2 linked regions of the Xenopus tropicalis genome follow. The protein of the gene in region 2 interacts with the protein of the main gene of each other region in a pairwise test. Links are inferred from orthologs where the notes say so. Each region holds a gene or a part of one and is shown on either strand. Other genes may lie near its edges. The genes, in order: wbp2 and epn2.

The links.
Region 1: the proteins of epn2 (region 2) and wbp2 interact in binary tests that used the Homo sapiens proteins (3 or more experiments, as listed by UniProt). The link is inferred for Xenopus tropicalis from reciprocal best matches to the Homo sapiens genes EPN2 and WBP2.

What each region holds. Positions count from the first base shown.
Region 1 is NC_030686.2:44,869,464-44,873,855, forward strand, and holds the start of wbp2 (WW domain-binding protein 2), read right to left. Parts: upstream 2,946-4,392; 5' UTR 2,879-2,945; coding exon 2,820-2,878; intron 1,593-2,819; coding exon 1,484-1,592; intron 777-1,483; coding exon 641-776; intron 497-640; coding exon 404-496; intron 188-403; coding exon 56-187; intron 1-55. UniProt on the Homo sapiens protein: Acts as a transcriptional coactivator of estrogen and progesterone receptors (ESR1 and PGR) upon hormone activation. In presence of estrogen, binds to ESR1-responsive promoters. Synergizes with YAP1 to enhance PGR activity.
Region 2 is NC_030685.2:18,479,299-18,483,802, forward strand, and holds the start of epn2 (epsin-2), read right to left. Parts: upstream 3,081-4,504; 5' UTR 2,810-3,080; intron 1-2,809. UniProt on the Homo sapiens protein: Plays a role in the formation of clathrin-coated invaginations and endocytosis.

The sequences.
Region 1 (4,392 bases), on a different chromosome or scaffold from region 2:
TTCCAGATGACAGATCTCACACCTGTATTTTATAATAGTGAGTAAAATGACTTACCGCTGGGTGGTGGCGGATAAGGATAACCAGCAGGTGGAGGTGGGTAGATGCCATTGGCTGCAGGAGGTGGGAAGACGTAGCCCCCATTGGGCATATATGGGTAGGCAACATTTGGAGCTCCTCCACTTGAGGCTACAAGGGCGAGTAGAAACCATATTTTATAAAAATGGGTAAAGGAAAAAGTGCATTGCAAAGGCTGAGGCAGAATTTCTGACCCATTGGGATTTCCCTTTAAATCTTTTCCCCGAGGTGTGGGGCTTGTGGCAAATGTGTATTTGCTCTCCTAGGTAGTCCTGGGAGTCCAGACTAAATGTCAAGAGATTGTGACTTCAGATACCCCCTGCTCACCTTGAGAGGCCACGTGTAGCATGTGCTGGCCGAACTCTATAGCGCCCCCTGAAGGAAAGCTTAGTTTAAATGTAGCAGATCCTTCCCAACCACCTGCAGGCAAAGAAATGAATTCCAGATTAAAAGATATATTTAACCTACAGCAAATTATATTAGCAAAAAATAAAGGCAGGTGTCCCAGGAGCTGAAGTGGGACCTAGAACGCATAGGTATCCGTCAGATAGTAACACTGCTCACCTCCAGGCTCAGCTCTCACGTTGCCCTTGATAAAATTGGCTCCAAATACGGGCTGCTTAATTTCACAGTCCTTCATCAGATAGAAGGGCATCATGAACGACTGCATGGGGTCCCTTCCTTTGGACACAAATATCACCTGTGGATGCAAAATTAGCCTCACCCACATGCATAATACACAAGAGCCGTAAAAGATATGCTTATAAATAGGTTAGAATCTGTGTCACATGACTCACTGAAATAATAATAACTGAAAGAATAATGTACCCCCTTGGAATAAAATGAGAGAATATTAGACACCTCAAAGCTTTAGGGCCTGTATTAAAGTGATTTTGTGCCGCCTTTATATGTTCATGGATCCCCTCTGTGACTTTTATTAAGGAGGTGTAGAAGGGCACTAGCCCTATATGTAATAAATGACACTAAAGTTTGGCATACACTGGCAAATCTAAGTTGCCGATTTGAGTCCTTCAGACCGTTTCGGGCGCTTATCTGCCCATGGGGCCCCCCAGCAGGCCTACCCAACCAATATCTGGATAAAAATGGGCAGGTGGCGAAACAATCGATTTAGCCAAATTTTGCCCACCTTAGGTGGAAATGATCCACTCGATTAAACCTTAAGTTTGCCTGATAGCAATAACCCACAGCAACCAATAAGTATATTCTACCTGCTGACTGGTTGCTATGGGTTACTGTTCCTGGGCAAATTTAGTTTTTTTAATTACATAACCCCCAAGTGTCTTCTCTGACCTAATGGAAAGTTTAGTTGCACATTAGCAGTTTATTCCATGGTGCCAATGAGTCAGACTGCACCTAATGAGTGAAGGAAAAGGGAGGCAGACTTACTCGATATGGTGTCAGAATGACTCTGCCTTTCTTGGTCCCTCTGAAAGCCTCTGGGGTGCTGTCCATGTCACTAAATGTGACCTCCACATGTTCATAAGAAGTAAGGATACTGGAAGATAATAAAGGGCAAGTTCAATGAGAACAGTGCAGTTTAGTAGTCAAAGACGAACTGCCAGCTGGACACCGGGAAAAAACCAAGCGGGCCCCTCGATCCCTGCTGGTGTTCCTGAACTGACGTCCCTCCACCAGACTGGGGGGTTTGGGATGATGGGGACCCCTTGGGGGTGTGGTGTGTGTGGGGGGTGGTTATTGTGCATCTTCATGATATTGGGCCAAACTGACTATCTGTTTGAGGAATAAGAGGAGTGCCCAAGGGTGTAAATGTAGAGGAAGAAGACCCTGCAACTGCCAAGGTATAAGAGATCAGTGTCAGACTGGGAACCCAGAGGCCCACCAGAAAACCTTAGACCCCAGGCCGCTTTTCCAAACTATTTTTCCTCCTTTCCTCACCCAACCTCTTTATTCTCCTAGTCTCTTTTATTTACATGCTAGCATCTATTCTTCCATCTATTTCTCTTCTTTGTTCCCATTCAGAAACAGGGAATGACCATGAAGCAGGCCAAATGCTGAGGAGCAGGAGGGCCCACTGACATCTGGGCCCACCGGGAGTTTTCCTGCTATCCTTGTGGGCCAGTCCGACACCGTAAGAGATCCAACAGAACACTGAATGATACGCGGTTTCAGTGGCATAACTGAGCCCTATAGCAAAATCATTTTAGCGCCCCAATAAACTTTAGGAATAAGACATTTTTTATAATAAAGCTATTAAAACTGCTTATCAGTCAGTGCCCTATGGGGCCTCCTATAATCTCCAGGGTCACTCTGCCTTCCCCGGGTCTGAGCGTTAAATATCTCCTACATATTGCAGCACTGTATACACCCCTCCACTGTATCATGTGATTATGTAAGTGCTTCATAAGAATATTATATTAAATTAATAATATAAATAATAATAAAGGGGGTTTAGTAAGTAAATCTCACAAGGGATACATGTGGGACATATTATATATAGATATGCTGATAGAATTAAGTATATTGTGCCTGGGAATAGGAAAACACACACAATATTATACAAATAGTACAGCAGACAGGCAAAGAGAGGGAGGCGGGTGTATCTGTATCAGCTCCATAATTGGCACAAATCCCTGCTCGTCATGTCCAAGCTCCGCCCCATATATGATGACAGATACCCGGAACCCATATTCATGCAGGGGGTCCGTCTAACGTTTCGCTGACTGCTTCCCGCGACTGTCTCTCTACTTAGCCGCTGTCCTACCTCTCGCTGTTGTTAATTACTGCACCTCCGCCATCCAGGTGGTTCCTGTTAAGGGCCATATTGCGGAGATAAAAAGGTCACACCTCCGCAGCCTAGCAACAGCCAATCACCGTGCTCGAAGAGTCTCTCGCACTTTGAGACGCAGTCTGGGCGGTTCCACTGCTGTAGGGCCGGCCGCTCATTGGCTGAGGGATCTATGACTGGCATGTGTTCTTGATCGCTAGGGGGCGTGTATCACTGAAAATAAACCATGGCCGCTTGAGGCGCTAATGTTGTAGTTGTGTTTCTGCGTTGCTAATACTTCATTGTAACGATCACTTAGCGCTGAGGCGCAGAGCTGCTCCGTGTATTACGGTTGTTACCAATGTAGCGCTGTGTTTGGGCGGCTATTCAGGGCAGTAAGTGTTAAATTCTACTTTATGGGGAATATCCAATCTTATTTTGTACAGTTATATCGGCCAATTAGTTAGTTAAACATACTACTTCACTACAAACCTCTCCTAACAGGATTTCATACAATCCCAATTGAGGTTATCACAGGGCTGATATTAAGCTATTTCATACTCCCCGCGTAGTTGCTTCGCCCCTTCTTACACTTAGGGGCACATTTACTAACCCACGAACGTCCAAAAAGTGTTTTTTTTTCGTAATGATCGGTATTTTGTGACTTTTTCGAGCGCTCAATACGAAAGTCGCGACAATTCGCGCAAGTCGTAACGGCTACGAAAAAGTCACAAAAAATATGAAAAAGTCGCAAAATGTTCGTTTTACAATCCAAATTTTTCCCATTCGGATTCGTGGATTAGTAAATCAGCCCCTTAGTATAGCGGCGGAAATACAAGAAGGTCTCTAACTGGTCGATGTATATATTAGTTGAGGTAAAGTTATCTTACAGGTAAGTATTACGTTGCGTTTCTCTAACATACGGTGGGTCCGGTATTGCCAGGGTAAAGCCGCCATACACGCACCGATAATATACGTAACCTCGTTTCATACGATATTCGGTGCGTGTATGGCAACTCGGCGAGGCGGCCGATATCACAGAAGGCTGTCGACTCACCAATCGGACCGGTTAAAAGATTTTGTTTGGGCACCGTAGAAGGCGCCTGAGCAAAATCTGCCTTCAGCGCTGAATCGGCAGAAGGAGGTAGAAATTAGAGCTGGGCGGTATGGCCAAAAATTTATATTGCAGTATTTTTCAAAATGATATCGGTGTCGCTGTATTTGACGGTATTTTTTTTTTTCCATGCATGATTAGGTGTTAACCCCATTTCCTAATAAATTAGAGAATAATTACTGTAGTATTGAAAATCAGAGTCAGGCAAGCGAAGGATCGGCAACAGAAAGTCGTAAGGTAAATCAGGCAGGCTTAGTTTCCCAGGCAAGGCCGCAGACAACATAGCACAGGAGGAGGCGTTTGATAGCTTTAAATACCCCCCACGCATGCGCAGAACCGGCGCCGTTAGCGCGTCGCGGACGTGCACGCTTTGACATGTACGTGCGCTTTGACGCACACACACCTGGACGCGCGTGCGCAATGTCCCGCGGACAACGGGACGCGCGCGCAAGGAGG
Region 2 (4,504 bases):
ACCTTCAAGCTTGGTTTTCAGGGGTATCAAGGAGAAACAAATACACATTACACCAAATCTCACCCCAAAAGGCAGTCTGAACCCCACAGTTTGGAAAGCACTGCACTCTGCAGCTCTCCTACATCACCAAACTTTCTAACTTGGCCAGTGATCTCCAACCAGTGGTCCATCAGCAACATGTTGCTCCCCAACCCCTTGGATGTTGCTCCCAGTGGCCTTAAAAGAGGGGCTTATTTTTGAATTCCCGGCATGGAGGTAAGTTTTGTTTGCATAAAACCCAGTATACTGACAAACAGAGCCCCCTGTAGGCTGCCAGCCCACATAGGGGACACCAAATAGCCAATCACAGCCCTTATTTGGCACCCCAGGAATCATTTTATGCTTACATTCGAACGTGACTCACATGTAAAAAAGTCTGGGGACCCCTCATCTTGGCCATGTAAGAGGCAGGCCCTTCAGGGTCACACCTCTGCCCCACCCATGAAGAAAAGCAGGGATTGGACAGTTCCCACTCAGTCATAAAAAGTCTACAATGGAAAAAATATGCACCGTGTCAGCAATTTTCTCCTTATAAGTGCAAAACAGCTTTTGCAATTATAAATATAACTTTTGTGAACTGTTATAAAGTTGGCGCCGGTGCCCGCGTAGCAGGTTACATGCAATTACAGCTTTGTAACAAGGCCCGCGGTGCACGTGGGGGGGGAGGGGGCTTATTCCCTGTATTCTCAGTATTCTTCAGAATGAAGCCATTTGGACCCTTTTCAATCGACTGGTAGAGAATATGTCCCCTGTGCCATGGGCCTAAAGGTCAATATTATACCCCAAAATGTGATTGCTTTCCTAGCAACTTTGCAATTGGTCTTTATTATGTATTTTTTTTTAAAGTTTTTTAATTATTTGCCTTTCTCCTCTGACTCCTGCATCTAAAAAGGACTGCTCTGTGAGGCTTTATTTATTGTTACTTTGTACTACTTATCTTTCAGTTTAGGCCCTCCTCTATTCATATTCCCAACTCTTGTTCAAACAACTGTCTGGTTGCTAGGGTAAACTGCACCATAGCAAACAGACAGCTGCTAAAATACCAGACCAGAGAGCTGTTGAACAAAACCCCAAAAAAATAAAAATATAGACCAACTGCAAATTGGCTTAGAATATCAATGTCTGCATCATATGTAAAGTTAATTTAAAGGTGAACTGCCCCTTTAATTTTGCTCCACTCCCAAAAAAAGAGTTGTCATTCTGCAGGTTTTTTTTGAGGCTCGCTTTGTATTTTTAAACTTCAGGCGAATAGTTTGGAGGCGCAGACACACACTCACACACACATTTACACACACACTTACACACACACATACACGCACACACTTACACACACACATTTACACACACACTTACACACACACATACACGCACACACTTACACACACACACACTTACACGCACACACACACACTTACATGCACACACTTACACACACACACACTTACACGCACACACACTTACATGCACACATTTACACACACACACACTTACACACACTTACACGCACACACACACACACTTACACACACACACTTACACACACATTTACACACACACACACTTACACGCACACACACTTACACGCACACACACTTACACACACTTACACACACACTTACACACACACACACTTACACACACACTTACACGCACACACACTTACACGCACACACACTTACACACACACTTACACGCACACACTTACACACACACACTTACACGCACACACTTACACACACACTTACACACACACACTTACACACACACACTTACACACACACTTACACACTTACAATTACACACACACTTACACGCACATACTTACACACACACACACTTACACACACACTTACACTTAGACACACTTACACGCACACACACTTACACACACTTACACGCACACACACTTACACACACACTTAAACGCACACACTTACACACACACTTACACACGCACACACACTTACACACACACACATTTACACACACACACACATACACACTTACACACACACACACTTACACACACTTACACGCACACACACACTAACACACAGACTCACACACAGCGGGGCACACATGTAAAGCAATGCACCAGCAGAGCTTCTGATGGGACTAAGTGTCCTGTTACAGTCCCATGTGGTTCTACTCACAACAGAAGTGAATTTAAAAGGCCAAATTGCAAAGAGGGGAGGAGGGGGGTCCGGGGGTGGGAGGCCGGGAGTTTGTTCCTTTGCAGGAGGCACAAGATGAAAGCCCCTGACAATAGGTCATGCACAATGCCCCTAATACTCACTACTTAGTTCTGCTGCATTCCCCACCCCCCTTTAGCCATGTACCCTCTGGGCCATACCCCTGCCAGCCTTGCCCTCTCCCTGGCACTAGTCCTGGCATTAGTCCTGGCATTGCTACACCAGTCTCATGTAGTATTGCAGAGCACTTAGCAGCTGATACAGAGCCCAGCCAGAGGGACAGGGCACCCACAGGGAATAGAACTGGCACTGCAGCCGGAGGGTGATGGGTGCCAAGGTGCCACAGGAGGGAGCAGCAGCTCCATGGCACATATGGGAATCCAGGAATGAATTTGGGGCACAGGGGAGGGATCCCACACCCATAGCAAGAGGCCTCTTGTGTTACTCATCTCATGCAACAGGCCCCTGTACAGAAGCAGCTACACTGCCAGGAAGGGGTTACTGGGGGATTAGGAGAGTCCTACAGGGGGTCCCCAATACACAGACCTCCCCAGACCCATAGAGCAACAGGCACTTACCCCGGACTGAGCTTTCTCCTTCCCAGGGCGTCAGGGGTGCTCCAGCCTCCAGCAGGGAACTGGGGGTCTTCCCTCTCCCACCCCTACCGGCTCAAGGTGAGAGCAGTGCGGAGGGGCCGCTGGGGGAGCGCAGGAGCGCTGGGGCCACTGTTACACACAGGAGCGCTGGGGCCACTGTTACACACAGGAGCGCTGGGGCCACTGTTACACACAGGAGCGCTGGGGCCACTGTTACACACAGGAGCGCTGGGGCCACTGCTGCGCACTGGATCGGGTGTCTGTACTGCCCCAGCCCGGCGGCAGGGAGATGAGAGGCGGCCAGGGAGGGAGGATGAGGGGAGGAGAGAAGGGAGGGGGGAGAAACAAGAGCCTGGAAGGGAGGGAGGGGGAGCGGAGAGAGGGCCAGGGAAGGAGCTCCTGTCTGCTCCCGTCTGTGTGGGTGTCACATTATCATATTGCCCCCAGCATTACCGGCGCCCCCTGGGGGAGGGGGGAGAAGCAACAAACTACCTATTCTGTATCCCTGCTGCTACCTACTGAAATATATATATCTGGGCGGTCCAACCAGCAGCCCTCCAGCTGTTGAACTGCAGCTCCAGGTCCCAATCATTGTTGGAACGATTTAGAGAGTTGCAGTTCAGACATCCCTGAGGTGCAGGTTAGACTCCCATGACTTATCTATTACTCAGGCCCCAAGGTTATACGGGCCATCTTTACTGTAATAACTCGGGCTTTGCATGTACTCTGTCCCAGGAGCTTGCAATCCAAACTCACAGCAGCCAGGAATTTACACCTTCCGCGGCCCTCCTGCATCCCTGGTCTGCTGCCCTTAGCTGCCCCGGGAGGCTGTGAGGGAGGAACCTGAGGGCAGCTCAGAATTGCTCAACTGCTGTAAGTGAACTTGTGGGAGCTGAGTGTAAATGGAAGCGAGCAGGAGGGAGCTGAGTGTGAGTGCAGGAGAGCTGAGTATGAGTGCAGGAGAGCTGAGTATGAGTGCAGGAGAGCTGAGTATGAGTGCAGGATAGCTGAGTATGAGTGCAGGAGGGAGCTGAGTATGAGTGCAGGAGAGCTGAGTATAAGTTGGAATTAGCACTAGGGGATTGAGCATGAGATGGAAGAAACAGGAGGGGCAGAACATGAGTAGAAGAGAGGTATGTGTTGGAATGAGCAGGAGAAAGCTGAGGAGTATGATGAGATGAAGTGAGCAGTAGGCAGCTGAGTGTCAATGTAAGTAATCAAGTATGAGTTGGAGTAAGAAAGAGAGAGCAGACTATGAGTATAGGAGAGATGAGTAGGAAAGGGCTGGGTATGAGATGGAGTGATCAGTAAGCAGCTGAGTTGGAATGTAAGTGAACAAGAGAAGATAAAAGTTGGAGTGAGCAGTAGGCAGCTGAGTGTGAGTTGGAGTGAGCAGTAGGCAGCTGAGTGTGAGTTGGAGTGAGCAGTAGGCAGCTGAGTGTGAGTTGGAGTGAGCAGTAGGCAGCTGAGTGTGAGTTGGAGTGAGCAGTAGGCAGCTGAGTGTGAGTTGGAGTGAGCAGTAGGCAGCTGAGTGTGAGTTGGAGTGAGCAGTAGGCAGCTGAGTGTGAGTTGGAGTGAGCAGTAGGCAGCTGAGCGTGAGTTGGAGTGAGCAGTAGGCAGCTGAGCGTGAGTTGGAGTGAGCAGTAGGCGGCTGAGCGTGAGTTGGAGTGAGCAGTA